Linked DNA regions of Caenorhabditis elegans. The protein of the gene in region 3 purifies or fractionates together with the protein of the main gene of each other region. This does not show direct contact. Each region holds a gene or a part of one and is shown on either strand. Other genes may lie near its edges.

Region 1 (8,346 bases), on a different chromosome or scaffold from region 3:
TTTTGAACTAATGGTTCGAACTTCTCAATCATATCCAAAACATCCTGTTTGGCAAAATAATAGTTTTAAACAAAATTAAATTAAAGTTTGGAGGAAACTTTTTTGACTTGGTGCATAAAATCAATTTTGTGCCATAATTACCTTTTCTTGGTTTTGAGTGAATGAATTTGGTTGCTCTCGGAACAATTTATTATCAAAATCGACTTGTTGAACACTTCTAGCAGTATTCACATGTTGGAATGCAACATCTGGTACTTGTGGAACTGGCTGAGGCTTCTGATGATATCTTGGGATATCGGCTGGTTGAACCATTACTGGATTCTGCTGAGATGGACCATATTGTTGTTGCTGATAAGCCTCTGGTGGTGGGGGTGGAGCTTGTGGGATAACAACAGTTTGTGAGTAGATTGGTGGTGGAGCTGGTTGTGGTTGCTGCTGATATTGAAGTGGTTGCTGTGGTTGCTGTTGTTGGTACTGTACAGGCTGCTGCTGTTGCTGTGGTTGGAAATATTGTGGTTGCTGAGGCTGTTGCTGAGCTTGGAATTGTGGTTGGTACTGTTGTTGAGCTAGGAATTGCTGATAATTTTGTTGTTGTTGCTGGAATTGTGGTTGCTGCTGGAACTGCTGTGGTTGTTGAAACTGTTGCTGTTGGAATTGCGGGAATCCGTTGAAATTATTAAATTGTTGATGTTGTTCTGGCCATTGATAGTATTGACAGTGAGCTGAAATTAAATTTTAAAAAACGTTTTTTTTAAGTTTCAAACTGAATATTTTCTTGACAATTATGATGGTAATGTTTTTGGGAAATATGCTACCGTATTTAACTATGAGTCTTGCACCATGTGGCAGCTATATCAGAATTTTTTAAATCTGTCAACTGACATAAATTCATTATCTGTTATTCTAGTTTCATTCTAGAAAGATTACGGATATTTTCAAGTCTAACGGAAAAAAAACTTTCAAGTTTGAGTGATGGGGTGCGGAACAGAAAGACAATATATAATTTTCAAATTTTGAAAATGGTAGTGGTACTAGAAATGCAATATATTCGTGTTTTCAGTGGATAACTGAAACTATGGGTTGAAACTAAACTTTCTACATTAACCTATAATAGAACTTAGAGCTCACCGTTGGCTGCCAATATGGCAACAGTTGCCACAAATCGGTAGATCATAATAATGGTAGATAGAGAGAAAATGGAAAGGTAAGAAGGTATAGACTAGCAAGACCGGATCTTAGTGGGCAGCCCAGCACTGCTAACTAAAGCCGAATGGGGCGTGGCCAAGACGTGGAGCGGGAGAAGCTGGTGAAGAAGATTTTGGAAGAGAGAAGGCGGAGGGAGAGGAACACTGGAAAAGGTCGACGGGCCTCTCTCTCTGTAACGGTGCGTGGGCAAAATGTGTAATTTCTAGTATAATCTAGGCGACACAGAGACTGGTGTGAAGCTGCTTTGAAAGACAAGGGGAAAGATGCCGTGATTGTTAATTAAGAATATACTAGGTGTTGTACATCTTTATGGTCACACTTGCCAAGAACACTACTAGTTGATTGTGGTTTGGGAGTTTCGTTTCAATTTTCTTAATTTCAATTGAATTACAATGATGAAGAGTTTGATGGTCATGACCTTCGCAATTGTTTTGTTTGAAATAGTTTGAATAAACGGAATACATAGATGAAGCGGTTATTCCGGTGAGACATCTTTCACTTTCAAGGCGCTAACCTTTTTGATTGGCAATTGCATATCCCATCACAAACAATTACATGCCTTCCTCTTTCATTTTCTCTCTCGAGTCATGACACCCTGACGACACAACGTGACGAAACGGCGCGACACCGCTAAACCCGTCTCCAGAAGATGAAGAAAAAGCTGAGAGGATATGAAGATGAAGCATTGCGCAATCGACGAGGGCACGACGCCACAGATGTTTTGGCCGCCCGCCGCCGCCGCCACAGGAAAGGAAAAGCCTTTTGAAAAAGGACGAAGCAAAAAAGAAAAGCAAAAGATAAATAAAAAAACGAGTTCCTTTAGTAGATAAATTGGATATATAGAATGGACCGACTGTGGCTGACATTGTCTTTTTAGATGAACATACAAGTCCACAACAATGGATCTTGTAATTTCTAGAAAAACTGAAAAGCTGCGTAGACTTTTCGGTATTGAATGAAAAATTAATAATTGGTCTGAAATCTCGACAATTCGCCGCAACTTCTCAATCAACTCTAGCAAACCTAGAAATCTATGCATAGCCTGAGGATTGAATATTTGGAGTTCCAGAAAAACAATCTCATACTATTTGGAAAAATGATCTGTAAAGATTTAAAAAAATAAAATCTAACAATACCGAATTCAGCAAAAAATGTACTGAAACAGTTTCTGATGGAAATTTCAGGGGCTCAGATTTGATTTCTTCGGAAAATTTCACTAAAGTTGATGGAAACATGAGGAAAACTAAGAGAATATCTGACTATATATGATCGGACTCATTATTCTAAATGTGTGTCACCTAATAAGAACATTTTATGATCGAGTATCCTAACTTCTTAAAGCCATTTTGAACTTTAGATGACGTAATAATAAATCTCTGGTTCTCATGTCCATCGGATCTTTTTACCTCAATTTATCTTATCACCTCTGTCCACTATGATTGATTCTGAAAGAAACTCGGTTACGTAATCACAATCGGGTTTCCTTCTCCTCTTCATTCTCTCAATTTCGATTCTGTCTCTTTCTGAATGAATCGCTTTTTGGAGATATATATGTACATACAGACACACTTCCATTTATTTCCTCTTTGCCATTTCATTATGATACTACACTAGGGACTGATATGTAGTCTACACAAAACAATAAATACAGTAGGCAACATTAATGGATGTAGTGAGATAGAATGCATTACGCCATTCGAAATAAAACCCGCATAGGTGTGACATCATTAGGAAGAGTAAGAAGGGTGCTGGTAGTTGTTATAAAAAGTGGAAATCTAGACGTTCTCATCGTTCACGCAACTGTCTCATCAAGTGGCATGAGTACATTTTAGAAACCATTTAGAAAATGTTGTCATTGAGGTCGGCACGCAGCGGAAGAAGTAGATGATGTCGTTCATCGGAAAACTCGGAAGACGTCGTAGAACTGCGGATGGAAGCACGAACAAATAGGAGTATTAGAGCGGTACCTAGGAACAAAATATTTTCGGTTTATATAAAAAGTTGAATAATGCTAAGACATATTTTTAGTCATAAGTGACAGAATATCTACCTGCCTACATCTATGCCTTTTTTCTTGAACTTTAGCTTGAACTCAGGTGTTAGATTTTTTCACCGTGCAGAGTATTTTTGATATATTTTTAAACCGTTTTTCTTATAGTATGTTTACATAATCTTCAAAAGTGAAAAAGTTCAAATTTGGTAGTACACAAGACGCAGGCGTAGGTGCCTTGAGGGCAGGCAATTAGCGTCTAGCGTTTTTGAGAAAATATGTTTATTGGTGCCCCTTTATTTTATATCTCTTATCTCTGAAAAAGCGAAAACGGAAACTTTCTCCCAATGAAAATATTTGAAAAGTGGTTTTATTGATTATTATAGCAGCTGCTTTTAATCTAAGCCGCCTCACAAAAAAATAAGCAACGTATTTTTTCCCAGACCAAACTCACCAAAAAGGAAAAATACAGGAATCATGTATGGAGGCATGCTTAAACCAGGAGAGCTTGCAAAAGCTGAAGGAACTCGGAGAAATCTCATTTCTCTTGATGGCTCACAGTTTTCAGAGTTTTGAATCGTTCTTAGGTACGGACATTCAACAGGAGGACACACGAATCTATCGAATCCAACTGATAATTGATTAGTGATTGTTTTTTGATCAATTGGTTCGAACAATCCTTTCCAAATTTGTTTCGCAGCAATATCATGAGCAATTGGAGAAAGATGGAAGCAATCGAGTGCCAATAGTCCAATATTCGGCTGGTTTTTAAGTAACGGAATTGATTTTAGATCCATGGCTGGAGCAATCACAACAGCAAATGTAGATGAATTTCCATATTTTTGATTGAATTGTTCTACAACTTCATTCAATTGTTCATCGAATTGTTTCTTGATGTTTTGATATTCTTTTTCATTTAATTCAAAAATACACGAGCATGTTTTTCTGTAATTATATGTTTAATTTTTTTTTTAATTTTGAAAAACAAACCTATGTGAAAACTCGCAGAACTTACTCAACTTGTGAGCTTGTGAGTGAATTTTGACATTTATTGGTGGCATTATGTTAACGAATACCTTTGGAACATTTGTTTGAATTATTGTAAGTGCCGAGTGAAGTGACTTTCCAAATGTTTCAGGCCCGAAGGTAGTCTGAAATATTTTTTAATGGAAATGAAAATTAGCTCCGATGTGAAATGGTTATTTTACCTCATTATTGCAAATGTTACACAAGTCATTATGACCGATGAAAATATTAACGAATTTCCATGTATCAGATGTTTCTCTACCCAGCTTTTTCTTCAATGTACTTGCTAATTTGAGCGCTTGTTCGGGAAGCTCCGAGCTGAATGAGCCAGGAATCGCCATGTTAAAGTCGTAAAACTTTTGAACAAAATCAGAGGATCCTCCTTTTATTCGCGGTGCAAATTTACGGAAAATATCTGAAAAGCTTCTGTTGCAAGTAAGTGAAAGTCAAAACGAATTATTACTAATAAAGGTGGCTTGCTCATTCAGCTTTACATCATCTCCTGTTACAAACGAAACACCAGGAAACTGATCAAATAAATCGAGAATTGACGATGATTTCGCCGCTTGTGCAACTGACACAGAATCGCCTAGTGCTGCTATCACTCCAATTTGTGATGGATGAAGCTGATGTACAGATTCGGAAGATTTTCGATGAGGTTGGGGACAATTGAAGTTTGGAAAGCCCATTGGGTACTCTGTAACACGGAACTTGAAGGGTTAGATGGAACGATTAATAAACTAACCCATTGAATCCATAAACGCATTTCTAGTTTCTTTCCACTGATTGAATACTTCCACAGATGTTTCGATAATTTCATTAGGAGGTGAAATAATAGAATTAACTTCCACAAACGCCAAAAAAAGGAAAAACCGTGCCATTTTCAAGAAGAACGCTGCAGAAAAATGAGGTAACATGTATGTTAAAGTTAAATCGTTTTTCAGAATGATAAGATAGTCTGTTTTCCAATTTACACCGTAGGACATAGATAAGAGGGCGAGCAAATTGGTAAAAAAGGGGACAAACAAGTTTGTGTAGTCTGTGTTTATATGTATTTCGTTTTTGCAAATTGTGAAGTAAACTGAGCACAAACACCAACTCATTTATTTAGCGCTCAAATTCTACTGCGAATAATATTTGATATTAGTACATAAGTCTCAATAAGCTTTTCTCAAACTCAAAAGGGCTTGCGAGAGGTGATGAAAACGAGGTCATCTACAGTTAATGCCACCTAAAAATGCTCAAAAAATCAATTGTGAAGACCGCGTTCAGGCTGTGTGATAGATAAACCCATGTCACCATATATGAAAAAGTTAAGAAGTTCTTTGAAAAAAAGAACTCCTGAATATAATTTTAACAAAATTTAACCATTTCTCAGAAAACAGTAACCTGTATATATTCATATTTCCACTTTCAAAAAAATTCTCAATGTATATCCGGTTGGCAGGTGCCGCTGAAAAGTGTTCAATGAAACGGCAGCAGACTCCTTTGTATTCTTCAACTCTTTTTCCCAGATGTTCATGATTGCAGCTCATCGTACATCACAATTGCATGCACATTCATTTTAAAATGTGTGTGTTTCCTACTGATTCAATAAATTGAAAATAACACCACAAGTCACCCAGAGGAAATGTAAAATTGCGTCATACATGAGTTGTTCCAACTTTCAAATGGCACCTTGCGACATTCTCATCGAAGATCATGCAAACATGACTCACCATCATCTTCTCCTCTTTCTGCTTTCCTCCGCTAAAACTGACCATCCGTGGCGAGCTGTCTGCGTCTCAATATTTAAATTTGTTCCCAACCCACTATCTCACCTTTCCGCGTCCGTTTCCAATTTCGATCGCAATACAAACAAACACACTCATACATACCTTTTTGTTGCCCCGGTGCCCGCTTGCACTTGCTTATTACAATTATTCCACGGCTACATTTGTTTCTTATTTTTCATCTGAAATAATATTTTTCAAACTGTCAAAATAGTGTCAAGATCAACGAAAGAGGCGGCGCAAAGACGTTCGCAGAACGCCGCCGTCGTTCATTTGAATGCGGACGCAGAAGAAGATGACTGTTTTCATCGAATACCATATGCATCACTTATTGGATCATTATTATGCATTCTTGGAGTTATTCTCTTTGCAATTATGATGTCCTGGGCATTTAATGCAACTGCAGAGCAAGTCAGAAGATCTCTGAAAATAAATGATTGGCCATGGCTTGACAAGGTTCAAGTTTTCTTTATTGTAATCGCAGTTTTAATGGGACTATTCTCACTTTTCTTCTTATGCATCGGATTTACTGCAACTGGAGGAACAAGAGAAACTATGTATAAAGGTTCAAAATGACAATGATCTAGGAGAACTTATGTACAATATTTTCAGACGATGAAGCTCGCTGTGGTGGAAAATTTGCATGCGTCATCGCAATGTTGATCGATTTCTTTCTAGTAAGAATTGCTCAGTAAACGTATAATTTTAAAACTAACTTTCAGATAATTGCATGGCTATTCATTATTTCAATTGTATCTTGGCTTTGTATATTTTATTATTTCTTCGATCGGCTCTGCATGAATCTTCCAGGATATACAGATGGTGACTGTATAGATCTTCATGTTTTCTGGCCATTAGTTTCGTCCTTTGCCAACTCGGTGAGTATTAAGTTTTAGGATTCTCAAAAGAAAGCAATTTAATAAGTTCCACATTTACATATGTAGGTTGAATTGGAGAAATGTTAAAATTTGGGATTTTTTTGAGTATTCTTCCTAAAGTTTATGAACAACAACTTTATCATTTTGAGAAAATTAAAGTCAACAAATGAATTATTTCAGAATCTTCGAATGTGCGGTGGAGATGTGCAACAATTCTGTGCACTTACCTCCACAGCATTCTCTTGGTATGTCATCGGATGGGTTGGATGTGTTCTCATCATTCTTGGAGTTCTTTTATTTTTTGGAATTCATGCATCAAATTATGCACATATTGGAAATGCTAACAGGTTTTTATTTTCATATTGGAAGGCCGTGAAAACAAAATTTTAGATACGTTGAACTTGGCCATCTTCGGATAGTTGAACATCGAGAACCAGGAGCAGATCGAAATTCTAAAAATGCAAATGGTCGGAAAGATGTACGATTGCCAGAAAAATATGAACTTCAATCAACACAATATAGTGATTCTCGTGCAAATTATTCAATGAGGTAAGCCAAGTTTTTTTAGGTATTGGTTTCAAATTGAAGAATAATTTTTTATTCATCTCACCTACTGCTTTATTTTTCAGAACCTCAACAAGCCGTCAAGCTGAGCACATGTCTGATTCTGTCAGTCAGTTCGATTATCGCAGGGATAAAAGATTAAAACCGGTTTACTAACTTTTAAAAATCTCACGTTCATAATTAGGATTTTGAATTTTTTAAAAATTATTCCACGACAACAATAAATGCTTTTTATTAATTCTTTTCAAAACCTATCATCATGACAACACTTTCGCAAGGTGATCAACAAATGGTATAAACAATTTATATTTTTCTTTCAATGTTTCGTTTTGTAACAGATAATATTCGAAGATGATACTCGCGATCAAACGATGTTTTTGGAAGTAGCAAATCGTTTTCAAAAACGAATGAAGTTTGGTTGGGAGACTAGTTTCGGACCATTGCTCAAAGTGAATCCGCCGGTTGGCATAATGGAGCCAGGAGAGACTGTATTTGAGTTTTATTCTGGTGAAAGTTATGAGCGTGTATTTCAGAAATCGTTTGAAATTCAATTTAATGGAGGTCATCTTCCAAATACGGATGTGATGGATGCAGATCACTCGGTGAAAATGTGGTTGACGCCGGCGGAAACTAGAAAGAGAAGCTTAGAGGTAAAAGGTTATTAGTTGGATTTTGACTTCTCAACAAGAGTATATTCGAGGACAAAACATTACGATTTAATTGAATTCTGCATTTGATCTACATTTTACGATAAGTGTTATGATGGACTGAAAATGAAAAATATGGGTACTTCTTTAAAATTAAAAAGTATCATTTAACACTATGTAAATCCACATCTATTAAAGTTAATTCGAGATTCAGATATATAGTCTACTCCTGAAATGAAAAAATAAACTTTTGAGGCCACTCT
Region 2 (7,253 bases), on a different chromosome or scaffold from region 3:
ACAAAATAGAAGTGGAGTGCACAAAGTTGTCTTATCAATAATGACAAAAATGGTGTTGGGGGAATTTTACAATGTTTGCCAGGAATTGATAACAAAAACGGAGTTGAAATCAGTAGATCAATTTTAATGAACTACCCTAGAACATTTGAAACAGCTGGGAGGCACTCAAAAATTGATGGAATATAAAGTGGAGGTTTCCAAGTTGAAAAAAACTAAATCCTAAAACCAACCAACTTGAAACAGCTGCAAAATGGTTCAACTGTTTCCCCCCTTACCCTCACACACTCCACTCCTCCCTCCACCAGAGAATATGGCGTGGCAGACAAGATTTCGCGCGAAACGGTCATAAATCAAATAGGGAAATTGAGATATGGAAAAGACGGAAGCGGTGAGACGCAGACACTGTGAGAATAAAGGATATGGTTTCGGTTATACGGTTTTGATTGGAATCTTCTGCACACAGAGATGTCCGTGCTTTACTTCAACTTTTTTTTGGTTCCTTAACTGCCGCCACCATTGTTGATAGTAGTAGTAGTAGTCATCTGATTTTATGAGTGGTAGTAAAAATAGTGAGGAGTGTGATGGATACAGTGAAATTTGGAGTACGGTTTTTTTTTATTGAAATACCTTTTGATAATACTGTGATGGAATTTTGTAGGAGCGCTGAGACTGACAAAGTTGATAATATCAAACTTGGTAAACAATTTTTTGTGCAGTCTTCAATGTTTATTGACTTTTGTGTTATATTCATTTAAAAAAAATCAATTTTTATGTTTTTAATACGCGTTCTGTCTGTAGGCATTTTCAACACAAGTTACGCCTGCCTTGTAGGCCTTGAGGTAGGTTTTTCGCCTATATGGGAAAGCTAGATTCAACTGATAGTTATGATTTAGGTCTAATTTTATATTTCTTAATGTAGCTATTCATTTGATCCAATTGTTTGATACCGCTTGTCTAGTGATAAAATGTAAAATTTTTCTTATAAAAATTGAAATTTCGTTTTCCAGTTTTCGCCTAATCTATGTAAACCTAGAGGTTAATCAAAAATAATTATTGTTTCCACAACATTTACACTTCAATTATGGTTGAATTGTGTGTAGATTACAGTGGTTCAAATTTGCAAAATACTCTAAATTACTAAAAAAAAAAGCCTACATTTTTTTTGGGTAACTTACCAAAATTTTAACTGAAAATTTTGAAAAATCTAATTATTAGAAATGTCTTAAAAACTATAATGATTCAAGACGATCTGATATCATATGAAAACACTAAGTTTTTAGATTTTTCATGCTTTCCGGTCAAAGTTTTGGCAAATTGCCAAAATTTTGAAAAATATGTGCTTTTAAGGAAATCCAGAATAATGTCGCATTTTCCGACCCCTACAATATTTTAATAAAAATAATTAAAACAAAACTACAGTGTAAAAAATGTAGAGAACATTTTTTTTGGTCGACTTCTAAAATTATGAGTGGCAAAAACTGATTAATTTTTGACATTAAATTTTAAAAATTCAATAAATGTTCAAAAAATATCCAACCGTTTTTTATGATATTCGGTCATTTTGACACCAGAAAAGTAGTTTTCTACATTTTCCCCCTAATGACAAAGTTTTGGCAAATTGTCAAATTTTCAACTACATAGAATTGAGCTTAATATGAAATTTGTAGCAATGCCGCAAGTTCAAAACTTTCAAATAATAATATGCAATGAATTAATAGAAAAGTTGGCCATTGTTCAGACTTTAGGCGACAAAATTAGCGCCACTTTTTGCCGCAAAATTAAAATTTTCAATTTTTTTTTTTTTTGAAAAATTGTACTTTTATATTTGGCACACTTCATAAAAGTCTTCAAACATTCCCATCTTTGATTCTGAATGTTTACCAAAGGAAATTGACATCAAAGTTTGCTCGTACGGTTTTCATACTATTCTGTACCTACAGTTTAAACTATCAGCCTGTAGTTCAGATGTCCAAACCAAAAGTCTAAACTTTTAAACTAGAATTCTTATCAACTTGAACTCTCGAACAGATCTGACTCCAACATGTCGCCAACAAAATTTTCTCAATCAACATTTTTACTATTCTGCACATGTGATCATTTTTATTTCCTTCCAAAAACCGATCTCCCTGATCGGGTATACTTCGTTTTTTGTTCAATCTGTTTTTCTGAACTCTACACTCAAAATTCCTAGTATTTTTGACATCTTTTCTCTCTATTTCTGACCTTCTTATCACATGATAACCACGTTGTTTCTTCTACGAGTGATATTAAGATACAGTATAGCGACGGAAAAGTTTATTGGAAGAAATATTAAAGAAATCTAGCAGAATTTAGTCAAGAGTCTTGAAAACCTCTTTTCCAGTGCATTTGTAGATGTACTGCTGCTCAACGGAGTGTGAGCCATGGGTGTTTGTAGCAGTCACTTTGTAAACTCCTTGGTCCTCTTGGGTAGGGTTCTGGAAACATTTTCTTTGTTATTAACTTATCTAGAATGCTCATTTCTGGAAATTCATATGAAAATATAGAGAAGTATTTGTACTTTTAGAAGATAGCGTTATTTTAGTGAAGATTATGAAAAAGTGATCAAAATTGGCATTTGATTTAAAATGTGCCAAGTGAGTATGCCGATGGGTGTTACGGCATTGAGGCAATTTTTTAGCAACTTTTTGAAATTTTTAATATAAAGTAATTTTATTTTCAAAAAGTATGAATATTCCCATTGCCTAATTTTCATCATCAAGCTTCATTTTTGAGCTGAATTTCAAAAAAATTGTATGTGAATTATGCTGATGATCGATGGTGAATCTACCCAGTTATGGTGCATCTGACAAGTTATGGTACATTTGACCAGTTACGGTGAATCTAACCAGTTATGGTGCATTTAACTAGTTATGGTACATTTGACCAGTTACGGTGCATCTAACTTGATATGGTGCATCGACGGTGAATCTAGCCAGTTATGGTGCATATTTATTTTTGTTGGAAAATTTTAAAAAATCAAAAATAGTGCATGAAAGTTGACGTTTGCCAAAAAAGTGCCGTTAAAAGTGTTTAGACAAACGACAACTTTCAGACACTATTTGAACTTTTTTTTCAAACTTTTCAAAAAAATTTGTATTTTTTCCAGATAGAACAAACCTTTCTCTACGTTTCTATGTTAATTTTGCATGAAAAAAGTTGGATTATCATTTTGAAATAAACATTATTGTGGGTTTGCCGAAAAAATACCGCACAGCCCTTAAATATATGTTCGATTCCGATAAATGAAAAAAAAAACTTTCCGAAATTGTATAGCCTATTTTCAATTTTTGTTCCTGCCGGAGACCATCCCAAACTTTCCAGGAACGGTTTTTAAAAGAATGGCCGACATTTTCTAGGTCAATAAATTGTTTCTGAAGTTTTTTACTTTAAAATAAATGTGAAACAAAATCTCGAGGCAAGTGTTTCGAAGGTCAATATTACACCATGTTCTTACAATTTAAGTTTCCCTCTAAAAACCAGATCAAGTGTTCTATCCGTTCCTTTCTTCTTATTCTCTTCTTAATCTAGAATCCCGATCAGTTTATCAGTATTACAAAAATCTTACTTACCTTGATATGCAGTGTAACTGTGAACTTGCCAACCATCTTCTTGATCTTTGACACGTAACGATCACCAGTCAGCTCTTTGTCTTTCAAAAACCTACAGTAGTTAAGGTTAGGGGTTCATAAACCAAAATCTTTTACCATTTAACTGTTGGTTGTGGATTCGCATTACAGATGCATTCGAACAGAACTGATCCGTCTGGAGCAATGATAAGCGATGGAGCTTTCTCGAAAAACGGAGCCAAAACCATTCTGAAACTAACCTTTTAGAACTAATAAGATGGCTGAACATATGTAATGAAAACGCTCGAAGAGCTTCTCACTGATCAATTCCGTCAGTAACAGGTGACGGAAGCTGAGAGATTTGAGGGGCAGAGATGGAGAGATGAGTAGGCGGAGGGAGATGAAAGAGCACTTTTTTCTGAAGCCAACATGTTTAATAATATTGAGAAAAATGTTGAGGGCATTGATTGATTTGTTGGTTCAAAGCAAGTCAATGAATTCGATACACGCGATGAACAGCAATTGAAATGGCATAGAATTAAAGTTTTGGTTAATAATTCACTTGATTCTATGAATTTTTTTAATTATTGTATTTTTCTGATTATTAACATATCAATTTCTTATTCTTATAGAGTATTTTATATTTTCAGTCATTGATAGGACTCCATACTTTCTGGACGCGAAAATTTCCAATTTTTTTTCCCAAAACTACCTTCTATGAAAAGTTATTTATTCATTGGAAATCTCGAATAAAATTATCATTTCAAACATTGAAAAATGTTTCAGCATTGAACGCAACAGTTTATTTTCTGTTTTTTTCTACTATAAAACTTTTGTAAAATCACTAAAAAACGAAGATGGATCCCACTTTAATATATTTATGAACTGAGTACTAAAAGAAAACAAAAATAATTGTATCCAAGTTTATTTGAATTTGTGAATGGTGATTTTGGTGCTTCTCTCCGGAGCTCTGCCTACACAGTGCGGCATCGGATACACTTCATCTAACCTCTCTACCGGTGTATTTTCGGCTCGCAAAAACAGTTCAGAACTAGTAATATTAATAAGAATTGGCATTCGAAGATACTTGGCGGCCCATATCGCATCTTTCAGTTCCTCTCGATCCAATGATTTAACATAGTCAACTTCCCACGTAGAAGTGCTCGGAACTTCGACTCGATGACGGATGCACCAGGTGACAACCATCTTCATGGTAATTCCTTTGACGTTCGGAACTGGTATCACATAGTTGGAAGCTTTTCCCTGTTGGACTTGGCTTGCCATCTGGGAGAGGATCTCCGATTGATTCGGTGGACATTTCGAAATAGTGATCGTCGAAAGTTTTGAGTCTATAGAGCTCTTTTGATGACATGATGTACCTGGAAATTTGAATTGTGAAACAGGAGGGGTTTATTAGGCTCCGCCCATATAATGGTTGTGGTGAGAAGTTTGGAGGAAGGTACGGAAAAAGATATCACAAAGACAAGGGGCAAAACATTTTTTTGAACTACTCTGGGCATTCTAATTTGCTAGAAAGAAATGCAACTCTGGGGAAAATATAATAAAAAACACATTTTTCTAGGTTTCAAAAAACATTTTTTTAAACTTTCAGTGAAACAAAATCGTTTCAAAATCGACTATACATATGCTTGTAACCCGGGGGGAGCAATACATAAATTTCGAAAAAAGTGAAAACTTCAATCAGAATCGAGCTGTCTGATGGAATGTAAATTATGGGTGTTTCAAAAAGAGCACGGAGACGTGGTCGTTGTGGAAACCTAATGCTACATGTAATTATAAAAGACACAAGAGGACTTGAGCCCGCTGAGTTGAAAAGAATATAGACGTTAACTTGAAGTGAATGAGATCAGAAGATACCTGTCGCTTTGCTGGAAATTTTTGCAAAATTGTACGGAATCAGAGAATTGTTTTTTTTTAATATTTGTCACCGCATTTATACCTTCCAGTTTTGAGATTTTTCGTGGGAATTTTTGCAGAAAATCGCAAAAAAGTTTCATGGAAAAATCTTTCAAAAAACCAACAATTCAGAACCTCAAATAATCAAAATATTCTGAAAATTCTGAAAGCCGAAAATCGCCAAAAATTATTTCAGTATCTAAAAACAACTAACAATTCAAAACCTCTGATATTCATTATATTCTGAAAATTCAAAAAACTACAGTTTCAGAAGTATTTAAATTTTCTAGAAATTTGAAAATTCCGAAAAAAACAACATTCAAGAAATAGTTCTGAAATTCTAAAAATTTTGGATTAAAAATTTTGAAATTTCCAGAAACATAAACTTTCAGTTCTTTTTTTTTTGAAATTTCAGAAATTAATTTTTTTACAAATTGAATGTAATATTTTTGCAACTTTTATATTTTTCAGAATTTTTTGAACATCAAAGTTTCAGAAGCAACACGGAACCTGGTTTCGACACGAACAATGTTTCAAATGCTCGAGAATAAGCTCAAGCTTGAGTTTGAGCCTGAACCTAAGCCTAAGCCTAAGCCTTAGCTCAAGCCTGACCCTAACCTATGTCTTAGCCCAAGCCTAAACTTCAATGCAAAATTAGAAATATATAAATAATTTATTTATTTTTTGGAATCATTATATTTTCGAGTATCTTCTTCTTGATCACTGATGCAGCATTCCTGGAACCTTACTGAGCGCAGACTTTGGCAAATGAATCTGTTGACCATTGTCCCAGGCAACAATGCAGCAGTTTTCGCCCATCAACTGCAATTCAACAATCTCATTCTCTATTCAGCTCCTGGCCACCACCGCCAATAAAATATTTATTACTTGCCATATCCCCCCAATCTATGTAAAACGTCATAATCCTCGTACCTGGGTGACTTCTCCCGTCATATTATACATGTGATGTCGCATCGGTTCCCACGCAGTGTAGTTGATGTCGAAAAGGTAGGAGCATTTTGGATCTTGGAATTCTTCACATGCTATGCAACGGGCAAGGGTGTGGTTGTTTCTGGAAAATCAGAGACTTAATGCTTTACGGAAGTTTGGAAGTGTCTTGAAATTTTGATTTGCAGATCTATTTATCTTGAAGAAGACCTACCTACCTGCCTACCTACCTATCATAAATAAACGGAAGTGACAGCGAATCATCAACCATATAACGGACAAACGGGCGCCAATAGATTTCAATCGCGTCACGCTTCCACTGAACAACATCCGCCACGTCGACATTCATCGGCATACACATTTCGGCGAGGAACGGCATGTTGTAGAACTGAATGTTTCCATTTTTTGAAAAAAAGTTTGGGTTTCGCCACGACGACTTACATGAGCTTCTCTCTTCAGCTCATCGCAGGCTTCTGTGTCCGATGGCGCCACAAAATGATCCCCGTCACGGAGATAATTGAGAACTTTCCCAAAGTGTTTAGGATCTCGATCGATGAAAATCTCGTCCCCAGTCTTCCAACGATCACTGACCATCACCGCAAGCACCTAGAATAATGATGTGTCGATTTACGGAGCTTGTGTACTCCTCGAGGAAAAGTTTATTTTATTTTAGCTTATAAATTCATTCAAATCGAATATTATTTGTAGCAGGGCGGCAATTATTTTTGGCAATTTTACAAACTGGTCTATTGCACCATGTTGCTCCAACATTTTCCACCAAAAATTATGGTTAGCGGCAAT
Region 3 (9,849 bases):
ACCGCGCCTTCTTCATTTTCGAGGGAGCCTGTCTTGAGTCGACACACTGTTTTTAAACAATTTAGTACGTCTTCTCCCAAATTTTGAGTCAATTCCGTCAACTTTGAAAAGGTTTATAAACATTTGAATGCACACATTTCAATTTTCATTTTTTTTGATACTGAAATATCATTGATATTCGAATAAATCCAATTCAAAGTAGTATGACCACATTACCTGGTTTTGGATGAATGTTTTCAACTGGAACTGAAATTTCTTCAAAACAGTGAGAATTTTGCACTGTGAAGTCCAATGAAAACTTTATTGACTTATTTCAGCATTAGAATGATTTTTCAATCAGGAAAAAATGTGTATCGAAGCCGGACTCGATCCAAAATGCCGTTCCACGAAACCCCTCTGTCCAGATACCTTCGCTAAGGTCATGAAGACTATTGACACATTCATTTTTGACGCTGATGGTTAGTTTTCTAGAATATCTAGTTCAATTTTTAATTATAAATTCTTTCAGGTGTCCTGTGGCTCGGTGAATCAGTGATGCCAGGATCTCCTCGTCTGATCGATTATCTTGTGAAACACAACAAACAAATCATTGTGCTCACCAATAATGCCACCAAATCTCGTGCAGTTTATGCAAAGAAGCTTGCAAAACTGGGATACAACTCTTCAAAAATGAACAAGAACAATTTGGTGAATCCAGCTGCAGTTGTTGCTGATACTTTGCACAGAGCTGGATTAGATGGAAAACGAGTTTATTTGATAGGAGAACAAGGACTTCGTGATGAAATGGATGAATTAGGCATTGAATATTTTGGACATGGACCAGAAAAGAAACAAGATGAAGCCGACGGATCTGGTGCATTCATGTATGATATTAAATTGGAAGAAAATGTTGGAGCAGTCGTTGTTGGATACGAAAAACATTTCGATTATGTCAAAATGATGAAGGCTTCAAATTATTTAAGAGAAGAAGGTGTTCTGTTTGTTGCAACAAATGAAGATGAAACATGTCCAGGACCAAATCCAGAAGTTGTTATTCCTGATGCTGGACCAATTGTTGCAGCAATCAAATGTGCATCTGGAAGAGATCCATTGACTGTTGGAAAACCATGTACTCCAGCATTTAATTATATTAAAAGAAAATGGAATATCAATCCATCAAGAACAATGATGATTGGAGACAGGTAAATCTAATTTCTATTCAACTTTTAAATTTAATTTTTGAATTATTTCAGAACCAACACAGATGTCAAATTCGGAAGAGATCACGGAATGAAGACTTTGTTAGTTTTATCTGGATGTCATCAAATTGAAGATATCATTGAAAATCAAATGAACGAAAGAGATGATATGGTTCCTGATTATGTTGCACCATGCCTTGGAGCTCTTGTTCCGGAGTCGAATCAAATTTATTATTAATTGCATTCGTTTATAATATTTATTACGAGTAATTGTATTTTCCACATGACAGTTTCAATTGTTGAATTGCATTGAATTGTAAATATGAATAAATTTTAAGATAAATATTGAGACTTTGAGAATGATATTTTAAAAATTTACACTTGAAATACAATATACGATTAGGAAATAAAAACTGTGTATCAATTCGACAATTTCGGCAATTTTGAAAGGTCAAATTTTCTGATTTGCCGGCTAGCATGCTTGTATTTTGTTGAACAATGTAGACTTTTTGAGCTGTTACATGAAAATTGAAAAGGCGGCAAAATTTCATGCAAAATAATAGGAAAATTGGGCTGTTTTAAAGAAACTAAATATTTTCTTTTCTGGGAAAGAATAAGACATTGAAACTTTGTAAATTATTTTTGTCAATAATAAGTTTTCAAAATTGAAATTTGTTTGATTTATTCACAAGTTAAAACTACAACGACACTTTATAAAACAATTTCAATACAAATTCAAACAAAGGTTTACAATCTCGATTTCATCTCAATCTTTGCAATAGTCTCCAAGTGTACAGCATCTGGTCCATCAGCAATTCGAAGAGATCTTGCCCATACATAAAAGGAAGCCAATGGTGTAAATGGAGTAAGTCCTCGAGCTCCTTGCTGCTGCATGGCTCTGTCCAGGATGCTTATTGCCATGTTTGGAGCAACAACTTTGATCATGGCGATTTCAGATTTTGCTTCCTAAAATGAAAACATTTAAATGAAAAAAATAAATATTTCAGTTCAAACCTTTGGTCCAACTGTATCAATCATATGGGCGGCTTTCAATACTAATAATCTGGCTTGCTCAACTTCACATCTTGAAAGAGCCAATTCTTTTCGTAAACTGTCAAATTGGACCAGCTTCCTTCCAAATGCAATTCTTGTCAATAACCTATCTTTTATAACATCAATTGCCCGTTCCGCATGCCCAATAAGTCTCATTGCATGATGAATTCTTCCTGGCCCAAGTCTTCCCTGCGCGATTTCAAAACCTTTTCCCTCTCCCAAAAGCATATTCCCAACTGGTACACGAACATTTGTGAATGTGATCTCTGGATGTCCTCCTGGAGCATCCTGTGATCCAAAAACATGAGTGTTTCTGATAATTTTAACACCCTCCGTCTGCATTGGCACTAAAATCATTGATTGTTGCAAATTTCTTGAACGCTTTGCCCCAGAAACTTGTCCCATAAAAATGGCGATTCGACATTTTGGATGTGAAGCATTCGAGATGAACCATTTTCTGGCATTTATGATGTACTCATTGCCGACACGGACGATGGAACCCTGTAAAAATAAATAAAATATTTTGGAAGTTTGCTGGCATAATTTAGAATTTTTACGGTGGCAACAACATGTAGGCATCTTTAAACCTTCTTTATCAAGTTGCCAAGTTTTTTTGCAAGAAATCCACGCTGATAATTTAACATTTGGTAGCTACTTTTACATACTTCAAAAAAAGTACATCTGATTGTACATCTTGGTAACTCTTGGCAAAATCTTAGCAACTTACTGGTGGCACCTTTTGCCAGAAAGCTGACTTGAAAACCGGAGTGCGCGGTAATTGCCGTTCGGCAATCGAATTTTTGGCAATTTCGGCAATTGCTAGAATTGCTGATTGCCGAAAATTTCTAAAACCGGCAATATTGCCGAAATTGCCGATTGCCGAAAATTTCCAGAACCGGGAATTGCCGAAGTTGCCGATTGCCGGAAATTTCCGATCGCGACCCTGCTTGAAAAGCTCCAAAGCCTTACCTGGATATTTGTGGCATCACTACTCGCGACATCAGGCTCAGTCATCGCAAAGCAACTCTTAATCTCTCCGTTCAATAATGGAGTGAGCCACTTGCTCTTTTGTTCTTCACTTCCATACTTGATGAGAACTTCCATATTTCCCGTATCTGGAGCTTGACAGTTAAATACTTCTGGTGCAAAAATGCTTCTTCCCATAAGCTCACAGATGTGTGCATACTCTACGTTTGTCAGGCCTTTTCCGTATTTTTGTTCAGGATCAATGTGTTCAGAAATGAACAGGTTCCATGCACCCAATGATTTTGATTTCTCCTTCAGCTTTTCAATTTTCGGATGAGGAATTGTCCATCTGTGAGGTCCTTCTTCATAATACTCCAAGAGCTCTTGTTCCAACGGAATCACATCATTTTGTATAATTTCTCGAACGATTTCGTAATATTTTTGAGCTTTCAAAGACATTCCTGATGGAATAATTGTAAGTTGACCGTAAGATTTTGATGCATGAACTTTTGAAATCATTTGCATTCCTTCAGCAGCCAGCTTTCTAACAAGTGGTCCCAACTGAGAAGCTTCAGTTGAAGATGCATTCTTCAACTGAGATCTTTTATAAACTCCTTGAATAATGCTTGCAAATCGGAAAATAACAAACGCCATGTAGTAAGTCCATAGCTCTGGATCAACAACTTCCGTGTTTGTGTATTTTGCATAAAGTTCCAAACACTCTTTGATGGTTGGAATGCCCATTCTATGAAGATCAGATTCACTGTAATCTCCGAGCCCTGGTAGAAGTATCATTCTATTTGGAACATAGTATACAAATAAAAATGTTGCAAGATCTGAAAGCGGATCTCCAATTGTTGAGAGTTCCCAATCGAGAACTCCTTTCACTTTGATCTCATTCTCTTCGATAATCAAATTGTCCACACGGAAATCCCCATGAACTATAGTCGATTTTCCACTTTTTGGCAGATTTGCTTTTAGGTACGCTTCGAGTTTTATCATTTCTTGAATTTCTTCAGTTTTCGCCATTTGATAGGAGTCTGACCATCGTTTCAGATTACGGGCCATGTACCCATCTGAAAATATTTTGATGAAATGCTAATCAAAATGAACGTATTTTTTTAATCAAATTTTCAAAATGCACAGGTGTCAGTTTTTCAAGTCTTTTTGAAAAGTGTAAAACGAAAAATTTTCCAATTTAGATTTTTGCTTAAAAAACGAAAAATCGGAAATTTTCCTTCTTTAATTGATATTTTTGGAAAAAAAAAATCGAATTTTCTAAAAATAATATGTAATTGTTAAAATATACCTGTTCTTCCAAAGTCCTGTAATCCAACTTTTTCATAATCAACCGAATGAATTGTTGCTAACGTCTTCAGTGCTTCTTCATACACACGACGTCTTTCTGGTGGAGTCAATTCTGGAAGTGATGGTTTCAGGAATATTCTTCCTTTTTGATATTCCATAAGATAAAATGAAGTGTCAAGGGTTCTAAAAAAATAATGTATTGTAGCTTAGAATTTTAAAGTTGGCAAAACTAACGTTTCATCGTACAAAAGTGTTTTCGGGAGAGGAACAAGTCCCTGAAGAGCATTCATTATTTTGAACTCTCGATCCACTTGATGAGCTTTTGGTAGAAGACTTCCACTTGGTTTCTTTCTAAGAACATACTGAGACCCTCTTACTGTTCGGATGTAATATGTTGGGTTTGACTGTCCATGACGGAATTTGCGGATTGTTTCAACTTTGTTATCAGTCCCAGTTCTTCTGGTAATCAATTCATTGATCTTTTCAATTGGGAGAACTTCTCCTAAAATTAAATACGATGAGCAAACTATGAAAAAAGCCAAAAAGAGAGAAGCAACTAATATTTATGTTAGATATAAAGAAATAAAAATTAATTACTTGGAATGCAATCCCGTGTTTCCGGTGGGTAGGAGAAGTTCAACTTGAGAATATTTCCTAGATCATGAATTGCTTGCTGGCTGCTAACAACTTTAATTGTAGTGATTCCCATTTCTTTGGCGGATTTCAGATTTGACCCCAGATCATCGAGGAAAACACAGTCGGATGGGTGAAGCTAAACGAAAAAGTTGAAAGATTTGTAAATGTGATAATGCTACCTTGCTTCTTTCCAGCGCCAATTCATAAATTTTAGTGTCAGGTTTACGGAGACCAAGACGGCAAGACTCGAGAACATCATCAAACAAAAGTCCAACTTGCGATGGAACTGTTGGCAAAAGTCTAGCACGATCCGTATAAAAATTGTTGGTAATGAGGATGGTACGGTAGCCGGCAAGACGAAGAGACTGGAAATGAACAGATGTGTCTGGAGAACCATGTTATGCCAAAATGAAAATCAAACCTTGATAAGCTCAACCATCTCCGGGAGAAGTGGAGTGTGTTGGATTTGACTGCTAACCTCTACAAAAATTGGCAAAATGTCTCCAACTCGATTATTCTGAAAATCAAGGTTCAGGCTTAAAAAAATGCAGTTTTAGAAAAAAAAAATTGTAAACCTGAAAATTGTAAATATGAGTGAAAAGTGGATCGAGATCCTCCGAAGTCAACCGTCCGGTTTCAAAAAGTTTGAAATGTGGGTAGAAATCTTTACTGATGATTGTTTCGACCACTGAACCATCACGAAGATTGTGAGTTTTTTCGATGGCTGAAATTTCAGTGATAGAATTTTTTTCAAATTATTGTATTCTTGAACAAATATTTTGATTAACAGAACCTAGCAATAAAATGGCATATCTGAAAATTCAAATAATTTTTCCATGAAAACTTACATTTCCAATAGTGCATTGGTGCTGGGAGGATAACTCCTCCCATGTCAAAAATTACCGCTTTGATGGTCATTCTGAAAATTTTGAGTTCAGAAAAAAAAGATCTCCAATCGGGAATGTGTTGAGAAAACGTGAGTGCGGGCGATGGCAGAGAAAATGGTCAATTTGATAAGGAAAATAAGACAAGTAGGGTACGATGTAGTGTCGAATACAAATCAAAAAAGATATGGAAGGGTATAGTGTGGTGTTGAAAAATGAAAAGATTTTGATTATTGGAACAGTATTATTGTTGGTTTCGATCGAAAAACCAACTGTTCCAAAAATATTACTGATACTTTAATATTAACGAGAGTGAATCTAGATACCTCTAGCTTGACTTTTTGGCAGATCAACAAGAATTTGCGGAAACTTTTAAGCGCTTTCAGAAATTAATTACAAAATTTTTCTAGGTGCCAGAAGCTTCCAGTTCAATCAAGAAAACTTACCATCATGTATACAAATGACCGCATTTTTATTGGGTAATTTATTTAGTTTTCATAATTTCAAAAATCAATATCTGACTTAAAATTAACTTTTTTAAAAATGTTTCTTCGGGGACTTCTTTCAAATTTTAAGCGCTTTCAGAATTTAATTACAAAATTTTTCTGAAGCCAGAAGCTTCCAGTTCAATAAAAAAAACTGACCTTGAGGCATATAAACGACCGCATTTTTTATTGGGAGATTTATTTAGTTTTCATAATTTCAAAAATTAATATCTGACCTAAAATAAACTTTTTGTGTGTCTTCGGGGACTGGTATCAAATTTTAAGCGCTTTCATTATCCCCCACCAACATACAATCCCAAAATTCCTTAAAAAGACAAAAACTCAATTTTGCCCAAACTACAGTAATCCTACAGCAACCATACAGTACTTCTACAGTACTACTCAGTACCCCCAGCCGTATCTCCCCACTAACTCTGAACCAATATCTTTTCATAAGCCAAAACTTCGCAGACTAGGCATTACTCCACTTTTTTGAACACTATCCACTTATCGAAGTTCCCAAACGTGGATATTCTAAATGATGGTCATGTCTAGAAAGGACTGCTTGTGAATTGTTGATCCACAAATTTACCTAGAAAAAAATTGGAAAATATTTGTGCACGTATTTATTCCAAGAAACAAGTTTATACTCTGATGTTTGAGCAGAGCCGCCTGACGTTCAGTAACCTTCGACCCTGAAACTTTAATTCAAGCAATTGAACTGGTCATCTTCTCTGGTACACCCAAACACAAGAACTTTTTAATTTTGCTCTATTTCCTTCAACATCTTGCTTCAACTCCTGCTACAATTTATATTTAGAAGAAAAGAGAAGAGCCATTCCCAATTTCTTTCTTTTGGTGTCCGTCTTACAGCGTGGTCCGGTGATAATTAAATTTACGTTTCTCAACACACACACACACATCCATCCATCTTTTTATTCCCATTTTATATGCACCGTTTACGTCATTTGTATATATTTACAATTCGTTTTATTTATTGAAAGAAATTCCTCAATTATTTATGAATTCTTTGAATCTGACGGTCTGAGGAAAGCCCTGGAAAAAGTTCTTCATTAAGATTTTCAAACCTTAGTAGTTTTTTTTTTAAATTAATACCTTATTAGACATTTGTAAAACTTGAGAAAAAAATAGGAGTTGTTTCAATTTCTTAAAAAAGTGTCAAATTGTCCGCAAAACATTATAACTCAAGAGTGAGCTGCAAACAACAAAGTTGGAGATTGCCGTTTTTTGAAATTTTGTCCAACTTGGCAAAAACAGTTCAGTTTAGTTAGTTCAGTTAGTTTGGACCATTTTATCAAAATTTATTGTTTTCTTCCCCGAACCTTGTTCAAAATTTCCAGCGACTAGGTTCAAAAACCTTAGAACATTTCCGGAGCCAACTCGTCTATTTGACATTAAAATTGAGGAGCGTGGGCTCGAATTTCTGATTTTCGAACTCCTATAGCCCATCGGAAATTGAATATGGAATATCCGGCGACATGTGATTGCAGGAAGGGGGCAGCTCACAAATTTAATGCAACAAAAGAAACAATAATAATGTGTAAATATAGGTTTCACATATTTATTTTTCCAATTATATTTTTCCTGGGATCGGCTCAGAAATCGGGGAAAAAAGAAACACCAAATATAATTTAATTGTTTGGTTTTCCAATTTGCTATGATCACTGATCAAAATCAAACATTCACCCAAAGATTTTAGTTTTTTTTTCTTTAAAGAAAAAATGTTTCGGAGAACAAAAACAATTATCTATAATTTATGAGAAGTTCAAAAAAGGTTCCCACCAATTGTTGTTTTTTCTTTCTAAATTCTCAGTCTCTTTTCAAACCGTCTTTTAAGTCCCTCTATTGAATTTCAGAGCATTTCATTGATCTCTTTCACATTCTAAGAAACATCAGTGTATCCTGTTGATCTTTCAAATTCGTGCCCTAAACCGCCCTCTCAGCTGACCGATAGTAATTTTTTAATTTCCTGCTTTTCGTCGTCGTCGTCTGATTATCGAGCACTTCCGACGACACGTCCTAATTTAGAAAGGATGTTCCACATTCAAAAACAGGCGTCTCCTCCCTGCCTCGTGAAGATTCGATAATTTAGAATGAAAACTTCCGTTGCGTCATTTCTCAAAGCACTTGAGAGAGAAAGTCTCAAAGTTCAGTTGAAATGTTCGGATATTCAGGTGCGCATGTCATATTGATATGAATAGAAAAACATATGCAACAATGATATCAGAATTTTGTTTACTTGACATGTGACCTACAACTTGTTGCCAAAGTTTGGAATATCTGGAATCGTTAATATTTTGCAAAAATATGTGTTTTAAACCACTGCTTGATTTTTGATTTCAAAAATCACAAAAATGTGTAGTTTTTTTTAAATGAAAATTTTACATACCCAAAAAAATCGATGTTTCAAAATGAATTGCAACTATTCAAAAATTCTCTAACAAGGAAACGTTTCAATTTAACCCATATAACTAAACAAGCCCCATTTGAACTTCACTTCAACAATTGCCTATCTGAATTTCAGTGCATTTTTCACTTTTTGGCGCCTGTAGATTTGCTCCAAGAGCTTTTTTAAACGCAATTTTGACATTTTTAGGTTGTTTATGGGTAGGTAAAAATTTTGAAAGCTGTTTGGAAAATTTTAATTGTTGAAAAGAAACTGAAATATTTTTCAATCAACCAGATCAAACAAACTTTTTTCGTCGAACAAAGAAATAAATGAAAATCAAAAAGCTTCGAAAATGTTTACCTACCGCTAACCATCCTAAAAAACAAAATATTACATCTGCCAAAAATTCTCTGAAAATGTAGTTCCACCAGTAGCACTGTTTGTTTTTCAGTCAAATGTTGAGTTACTTTTTTTGAAAGATTGTTCTGAAAATTAATATTTATTTCCCCTTTGAAAAGAAAATCTGAGTCTTTTTAATTTTTAGTCTATGATCAGATTTGATCAGGCCCCGCAAAGTTTGATATATTAAATATCTTATCAGAATTGTTTATCTCAAATTGTTTTCTATATTTTTCCTGTATTAAGAAACCCCGATCTGAAATGAAAGAAACCCAATCAGTCGCCGTATGCATTTCAAGTTTCATTATCGTTCCAAAAACATCAAATATCTACCTCCAGCGATTTTTGAATCGTCACCAAATATGTCACGTATCTCCCCAAATGCTAATCCATTAATTGTGCTCCCCCGTCCTGGGATTAGTCTGCCGCCTATTGTCTGCCAGCTTGATAAGAAAAAAAAAATGAAAACGTGATTGTGCTCTGAACCTGTACCTTTGTATTGTTCTCATGAATATCAAACATCGAATGAT
Region 4 (6,732 bases), 5.9 Mb from region 3:
AGTCTAGGGTGCCCTAATTTTTAATTTAATTATTAATTAGTTTGGCAGTTTTCTGAAACGTTATTTTTAGACAAGATTTCATGATATAATTGTAATTTTACCAGATTTTGATATGCCTTGTTAAAGGCGCAGAGATTTTTTGCCTCGGCTAGCAAAAAAAGTTTTCAATTAAATTACTCTGTTTTTAGCGAATTTCATGGTATTCGTTTTATTTTTCTGTTCGAATTGTCTCAAATGAGTTTTCAAAGTATAATAAAAAATACTACCATCAACTTTTTGGGCGCCGAGATCCGCCTGTATATATCCGTGCGCCTTTAATAAGGCATGCCAAAATCTAGTGAACTTACGATACGAAAAATTTTCAAAAAGCGCTACCCTAAACGAGTTCTTGAAATTTCGAGAATTTAAATGTTAAAAATTGCTTATTATTTAAAAGTATAAATTCTAGTTACGAACAAAATATTATTCAAAACGTTAACTTACTCATTCTGGTATCAAAATAAAAAGATCTTTCTGCTTGGCTTCCACTACATACATTACCACTATCCTTTGGTTGAGTACAATCAAAGCTGAATACAGGAACAAGAAGTACACAGACTAACAGGTGGAATCGCATTTCTGTAGATAAATGGGTTAAATGTTTTTTTTTTTTTAAATTAAATTTTTAAAAGAAAATCCTGATAAAACTGTGGTATCAGTGTTTAGAGAGAAATGGGAAAAATCGCAGAGTTTATAAATGGGGAGAGTACAATGGAACAGTTGAAGTCCAAACATCTGGGTGCTCTCTCGAACTTTTTGAAAATGCCAAAAAACAAATTTGCAAAGATGAACAAGACACACCTAATCTTTTATATTTTCTAATTTTCCACCTACTCTCTATAAATAATCAATGTCAATATTTACTAGATTTTGACAAAAGAAATTCAAAAAATTCGGGTGCAAAAGTCAACAGGAAGAGAAATCAAAAATAGAGAAAGGTAGTGATAGTTCAAAACGCTTGCTTGCATATGGAAAATCAAGTGAAAGTGTATCTTTTCAATTGGAAAGTCTGAAGACAGCAAGTGTTTTAATACAGGAACACATGTGTACATGCCATAACAGTTTGTTTTAAAAGTTATGAACTTGTAGTTTAAAAATTCGTAGAACTTCTCCAATTAACACGTACACTACTAGAATTTTCATTTTTATTTCGTACACAAATGAAACTCTTGAAGGAGACCGATGGAAAGGTCAAGTTGGTACTTGTCAAACAATGACAGAAGTGTGAAGTGCTGAAAATCGAATTAAGTTCGAGACTATCTCGATCATATGATCAAATGAGAAAGAATCGATGAAATTCAAAATTTATTCAGGTCACAGCTGGAAGTAATGGTTTTAGTACAATTCACAGACATTACACGTAGTGATTAATGATAATTTTAAAACGTCAAGAGTTAAACACATTTGATATCATTTCCTGCGAGCGTATTTTTCACGAATACGGCGTTCTCGTTCAGCTGGAGTCTCAGGTACCGCTTGCTCGTGATAGTTCTGTCCCCGTTTATTGACTACAACATCCTCTTCATGATCTGATGAATCTTCCACGTAGTATCCAGTTCGATTGTTTCTAGCTGTCGTTTTTCCAGCTGCTTCTGACGGATAATAGCTAATACTTTGACCCTTTTGATAGAGTGAGTGACATGGTTGATCCGGTTCGTAGGTACGGTATGAGTCAGGAGCTAGAAAAGGTTTTTTTGAATAGTGAAGAGACTTCTCATTTTTGACTTTTAATTCAAATTTTTCAACTGATTTGAGGATTTCATCTTAAAATCATTTCGTAGTATAAAGTGTTTTCACTACGAATGGTTATCAACTTTCAAACATTTTTAATGAATTATTTGATACATTTTGGAATGCGTGAATTATTATATTTATACAATTCTAGCGGACGAATTCTGTGTTTGAATATTGAAAAATTAAATTACCACGATTATCACGTCTCTCATTTGTCCACTGTCTAGAATCAATAGAAGCGAGTCCGTTGTCATATCGAATACTTCGTTCTACCGTAAGTGTTTCTCTCATCAAAGCAGGATTCACACCAGATCCGTATCTAACTTCAGACATTGGTGGTGGTGGAGAATATGCAGCTCTGTTAGCATCACATTCAGCCTGAAAACAAACTATTTCTATCGGATTTAAATACACTACTCACGTCTGCTAGAACATTATCAATTTGTTGGCGAAACATTGGGTCCGAGCGAAGGCGTTGCTCAATAATTGTTAATGCTTCTGGAGGTATAACACCGTCTCTTTTGATAACTTCTCGTGCCGAAGCGATCTTAAAACGGAGTACTTTTTGATTTATTTTTTATCTGAATTCTCACTTTACTAGCTGGCTTCTGCTGTCTTGATTGACGAGGACTCTCATGAAAATTTTCTTTGTCTTTTTCAACTGGTTCGATCGCTTGCTGTTTAGGAATCGTTATCTCTGAAAAATTATTATTTATTGAATTTATGGGATAATATATATTCAAACATACTCTGAAAGAAGTTTGACATCAATTCTTGCATTTTAACAAGATTTTGAGCATTGAGCTCTTCTTGTCGCCGGGCCGTTTCTTCTTGAATCTCTGTTCGTATCGTTTGCAGTTCTGTTTTCATAGCGTCCCGCCAGTTTTCAGCTGCCTGTTCTTCAGTCGTTGTCGTATTTTGGGCAGACATTGTTGAAGCAAGCACTTTTTTTGAATTCCGAGATGTTCCCTGAAAGATAATTTAGTGGAATTATGCCATGGAACAATTTTAATTTAATTACCTCGACAGTTTGGGAAACGTTAACTGTTTTTCCAAACGCAACTGTTTTTTGGCGAAGCGCTGGATGCGAAGGTGGCTCTTTTCTTGGTTTCGGAGCCGAAAGACACGATTTTTTCTTGGCTACTTCTACAGCGGCGACAATTGGCTGCGTAGATGGTACTGGGGGTTTTGTCCTTTCTTGTGGAAGCTGAAGAACTTCTTGAAAGGCAGGGACTTCAGAATCTTCGAAGACTCTCGGTTGATCCACAAACTCCTGGACTAAATTGGCAATTTTAACACTTTTATATCGAAAACAACTCACCAGTTGGTTTTTTGAAGTAAATAGAGCAGGGTAAGTCGTCGTAATTATTCATTCCCGCTTAATGCGAGGTCATTTCTGTTAAAACTATGAAATTGGAAAATAAAACGTTTTTTCTTTAAAATTGGCGCGTTGGTGTCGCGGGGGCGTGGCCTCTGCTGCAACCCCCGCGCACATTTTTTGCAAGATGAGCGCGCACATTGTATATTTTCTCACATTTCTTTTCGCATGACCATTCGGGGACGAAAGAAGATTGTAATTAAATTAAATGATATTATTATAAAACAACAGAATTTTCTACTTTCTCATATTATCTGCAATTTAGAAGAATGTTCCTGATCAGTTGAACAAATTTAGATTGACAGATTTTCAAACAAAAAATCTTCTCAACCTACACAATTTTCCAATGTATTAAAAGTATTAAAAAACAAGTAAACACTCCCGACTGGTTTTCTAAAAATTCCGAGAAAATTTTTCCTCTGTACACAGATAGACAGCGAGACACAGAAAAAGTGTCTCAAAATAAATCAGCGTGGTAAAAAAGTCAGTGCGAAGGAGCCAACAGTATATGTACATTATACACACAATGTTTGCTCCGTGGGGTCAGATCAAAACTGGAATTTGGATTTGACTGTTGGTGGTGTTGCACGGTAGCAAGAGCTTACACGATTGCCAGTACAATAGTTTAAAGGGGCGGGAATCTCGATGGCCTATTTAAAAGAAATCCAGAACTCGAGTACAACATTTTCACGTGGCAAAACTAAAATGGCACTTAGATTGGCTGTGGTGAGTTTTAAAATCCTTTTAATTATGAGGTTTGAAACTTAGTTAAATTAAAAACTACTAAATCCAGAAATAGATCTACTTTAGATCTACATACGACTTTCAGTTAATTTAAATGTAATTATTATTTAGATTCTCTCCCTATTGTCTTTCACTGCGGCTCAATCGACTTCTGTTGACTGTTTTGCTGCACGGGACTCTGGAAATACTTGCGCTGAGAACAGTTCTTCTAGAATGTTCTATTATCTTCCAAGACTTGGAACGTGTCAACCATTCATGTATCAGGGATGTGGTGGTAATAGTAACCGGTTCAGTAGTGCACAAGAGTGTAGATCAGCTTGTACCAATGCTCAAGCTCAAAGAGACTCGGAGTCAAGTGATGAAACCGTTCAAATGAAGTGTAAGTGAGGTTAGCTAGTAACTATGGCAATTATTCTAAAAATTTTAAGCTGCTTGCTCTGCTACCTATGACACTGACCACTTGACACCAGTGAGATGCTCAGCAGGAGCTAATACTTGCCCACAGGGTCATAACTGTATTCAATCATTCTGTTGTCCAACATCCAGTAAGCATCAAATGTTTAAATGTTTTATTCTTAAATTTCAAATTCACAGACTATCTTTGCAACTTGACATATGACTCTGGAAAGTTTGCTGTCGGAGGAGAGAAAAGTGACAAATACTTCTGGGTTCCAAAATACACAACTTGCATGCGTTTCTCATTCTATGGAACTCTCGGAAATGCCAACAACTTCCCCAACTACAACTCATGTATGGCAACCTGTGGAAATCAAACAAGAACTTCCCAATAAGACGATATTTGAATTCCTGGAATTATCTGTATTATGAAAAACAAGTTATTTTTAAGAGTTGGCATTTTTGTAGTTTTTTTTCGGGTAATTTTCAAAGTATGATTTAACTGTATTATCATCCACTCATAAACAATTTTTATCTCATTTCTTTTAAATATTTTTTATATAATCTAAAAAATAATTTTGAATGTGATGCAAAAATAATAATTTATATACATTAAGGCAACGTTTTTCCTTTTGGGAACTACAAAACTTCAGTTATATTTATCCTGTAATTTGTCTCCATGTCAAGAGTATGGTTTTCAATCAAAGTACAACCAGGTTCGTTTATTATTCAGCCCTAGTTTAAAGTAAAATCTATCACTAAAAATAATACCCCATTTTCTCTAATAGTATTGCGACCCACACCTATAATATCAAACTCACATCTATAACCAGTAAAAAATTTTACAGAAAAATATCTATAGAAATACTTCCTTTTTTCTCTTTATCTGAACCTCGTTTGCAAACTCAACACGGAAGTAACTAGAACCAATTGCATCCATTTTGACATACTCTAAACAACAAAAAACACCGTTTCACAACAATTTTTTATCTTTCTGTCCAATCCTTCCACTTCCTGAATGAAACAGAAACAATCATCAAATCCAAAGATAACAAGAACACATTAGATCAATTGAACATTTTGCAAGCAATCGGAACAAATGTTTTTATAATTGTGGGGGATCATGCTGTAACTGAGCTTTGTGGTATAATAATCCATACATTTCTGTCACGTTTTTTAAACTGACAAGAAAAAGGTTTTTAGTTTTTTTTTTAAACGAGATATGTGTCATTTGAAAGTGTTCCATAAGGATATGTCACTGCAAATTTTTAAGCGGCAAAGCTCCACTCTCAACCCCTCTAGCATCAGTCTGAAACTGTTCCAGTGCATTTTTTCACTACTTTGGAGGCCTGTAGAATTGCTCCAAAATTTTTTTTTGCAAACTTTCAATGTTTTTCAGAACGTTTACAAGTAGGCAAACAATCTGGGAGATTTTTGAAAAATTTTAATTTTTTTGAAAAAAATCTGAAAACTCGGACCGAGTGGTGAGAAATGTAGTCACACGGCCGGAACAATGAATTTCTTACAATTAGCAGAAAAGTAGATGTAGGTTGCTTTCCGGACGAGCTACGCCTGCTTCGGTGACAGGTCCCTGGAAGGTGCCTACTTTTTAAATGCAAATAGTACTTCAAAAACAGTAAAAATATTTTTTCAACTTAAAAAATTATTGTAAAAGCGTATCAATTACTCAGGTTACAATTCACTAGAAAAATGGATTTTAAGAAGTCTATTCGGAGCTAACTGAAACTAAATGTTGTGTATTGAGCGAGTGACAAGGAGAGAAGAAGTTTATTACAAGAGAGTGTAAGAAGTAATGAATTATAAAGAGAGGTCGCTTAGGCGATAAGTTCATGATGACCCAAAGGTCACGTCTGTATAAAGTTCAGGTTTACGTTCCGTCCACAACATCTCCCCTCTTATATGACAAAAAGCCAGAAATTATGCCTGGGCTAGGGGCATCACGACCAGAGGCGGTATATCGACCTCTGCGGCGAGTGGAGGCATGATCAGTGTTTGGGGCTGATCCTCGCACAACTTGTCGTGGGTGGCTCTGTCGAAGAGAATGACTAAGGAGAATACCGGGTTGGAAACGCTCGCCGTCACTCGCAACATCGGATTCCAGCAGGGGGTCCAGATGGGTTTCTTTTATTGGCGAACTTCCAGCAGTATCCTGATCGCCACTGTTGTGTATTGAGCGAGTGACAAGGAGAGAAGAAGTTTATTACAAGAGAGTGTAAGAAGTAATGAATTATAAAGAGAGGTCGCTTACGCGATAAGTTCATGATGACCCAAAGGTCACGTCTGTATAAAGTTCAGGTTTACGTTCCGTCCACAACATCTCCCCTCTTATATGACAAAAAGCCAGAAATTATGCCTGGGCTAGGGGCATCACGACCAGAGGCGGTATATCGACCTCTGCGGCGAGTGGAGGCATGATCAGT

The links.
Region 1: the proteins of acds-10 (region 3) and F13H8.11 fractionate together in Caenorhabditis elegans (co-fractionation; one large-scale study listed by BioGRID). This does not show direct contact.
Region 2: the proteins of acds-10 (region 3) and oig-2 fractionate together in Caenorhabditis elegans (co-fractionation; one large-scale study listed by BioGRID). This does not show direct contact.
Region 4: the proteins of acds-10 (region 3) and piit-1 fractionate together in Caenorhabditis elegans (co-fractionation; one large-scale study listed by BioGRID). This does not show direct contact.

What each region holds. Positions count from the first base shown.
Region 1 is NC_003280.10:6,254,853-6,263,198, forward strand, and holds F13H8.11 (Lipase_GDSL domain-containing protein), read right to left. Parts: upstream 5,170-8,346; 5' UTR 5,104-5,169; coding exon 4,968-5,103; intron 4,920-4,967; coding exon 4,686-4,919; intron 4,638-4,685; coding exon 4,405-4,637; intron 4,348-4,404; coding exon 4,187-4,347; intron 4,142-4,186; coding exon 3,651-4,141; intron 3,174-3,650; coding exon 3,046-3,173; 3' UTR 2,761-3,045; downstream 1-2,760. Other genes in the region: dbd-5 (uncharacterized protein), read right to left, coding at 142-722, 1,129-1,174; nmgp-1 (Neuronal Membrane GlycoProtein), read left to right, coding at 6,370-6,559, 6,607-6,671, 6,717-6,872, 7,053-7,219, 7,263-7,421, 7,502-7,592; F13H8.12 (MSP domain-containing protein), read left to right, coding at 7,696-7,728, 7,775-7,924, 7,970-8,086.
Region 2 is NC_003280.10:13,004,329-13,011,581, forward strand, and holds oig-2 (Ig-like domain-containing protein), read right to left. Parts: upstream 3,837-7,253; 5' UTR 3,836-3,836; coding exon 3,726-3,835; intron 3,682-3,725; coding exon 3,591-3,681; intron 2,457-3,590; coding exon 2,331-2,456; 3' UTR 2,285-2,330; downstream 1-2,284. Other genes in the region: F18A11.5 (BTB domain-containing protein), read right to left, coding at 6,225-6,326, 6,438-6,576, 6,683-6,840, 6,894-7,058.
Region 3 is NC_003283.11:5,744,030-5,753,878, reverse strand, and holds acds-10 (Acyl-CoA dehydrogenase family member 11), read right to left. Parts: upstream 6,061-9,849; 5' UTR 6,060-6,060; coding exon 5,990-6,059; intron 5,866-5,989; coding exon 5,717-5,865; intron 5,659-5,716; coding exon 5,563-5,658; intron 5,507-5,562; coding exon 5,321-5,506; intron 5,278-5,320; coding exon 5,103-5,277; intron 5,008-5,102; coding exon 4,740-5,007; intron 4,689-4,739; coding exon 4,507-4,688; intron 4,274-4,506; coding exon 3,201-4,273; intron 2,733-3,200; coding exon 2,193-2,732; intron 2,145-2,192; coding exon 1,926-2,144; 3' UTR 1,846-1,925; downstream 1-1,845. Other genes in the region: pgph-1 (Phosphoglycolate phosphatase), read left to right, coding at 347-458, 509-1,181, 1,233-1,416.
Region 4 is NC_003283.11:11,607,193-11,613,924, reverse strand, and holds piit-1 (BPTI/Kunitz inhibitor domain-containing protein), read left to right. Parts: upstream 1-3,775; 5' UTR 3,776-3,856; coding exon 3,857-3,877; intron 3,878-4,006; coding exon 4,007-4,274; intron 4,275-4,323; coding exon 4,324-4,440; intron 4,441-4,489; coding exon 4,490-4,686; 3' UTR 4,687-4,829; downstream 4,830-6,732. Other genes in the region: tag-290 (BPTI/Kunitz inhibitor domain-containing protein), read right to left, coding at 484-616; sas-5 (Spindle assembly abnormal protein 5), read right to left, coding at 1,450-1,718, 1,965-2,151, 2,195-2,320, 2,367-2,470, 2,523-2,742, 2,795-3,051, 3,095-3,146.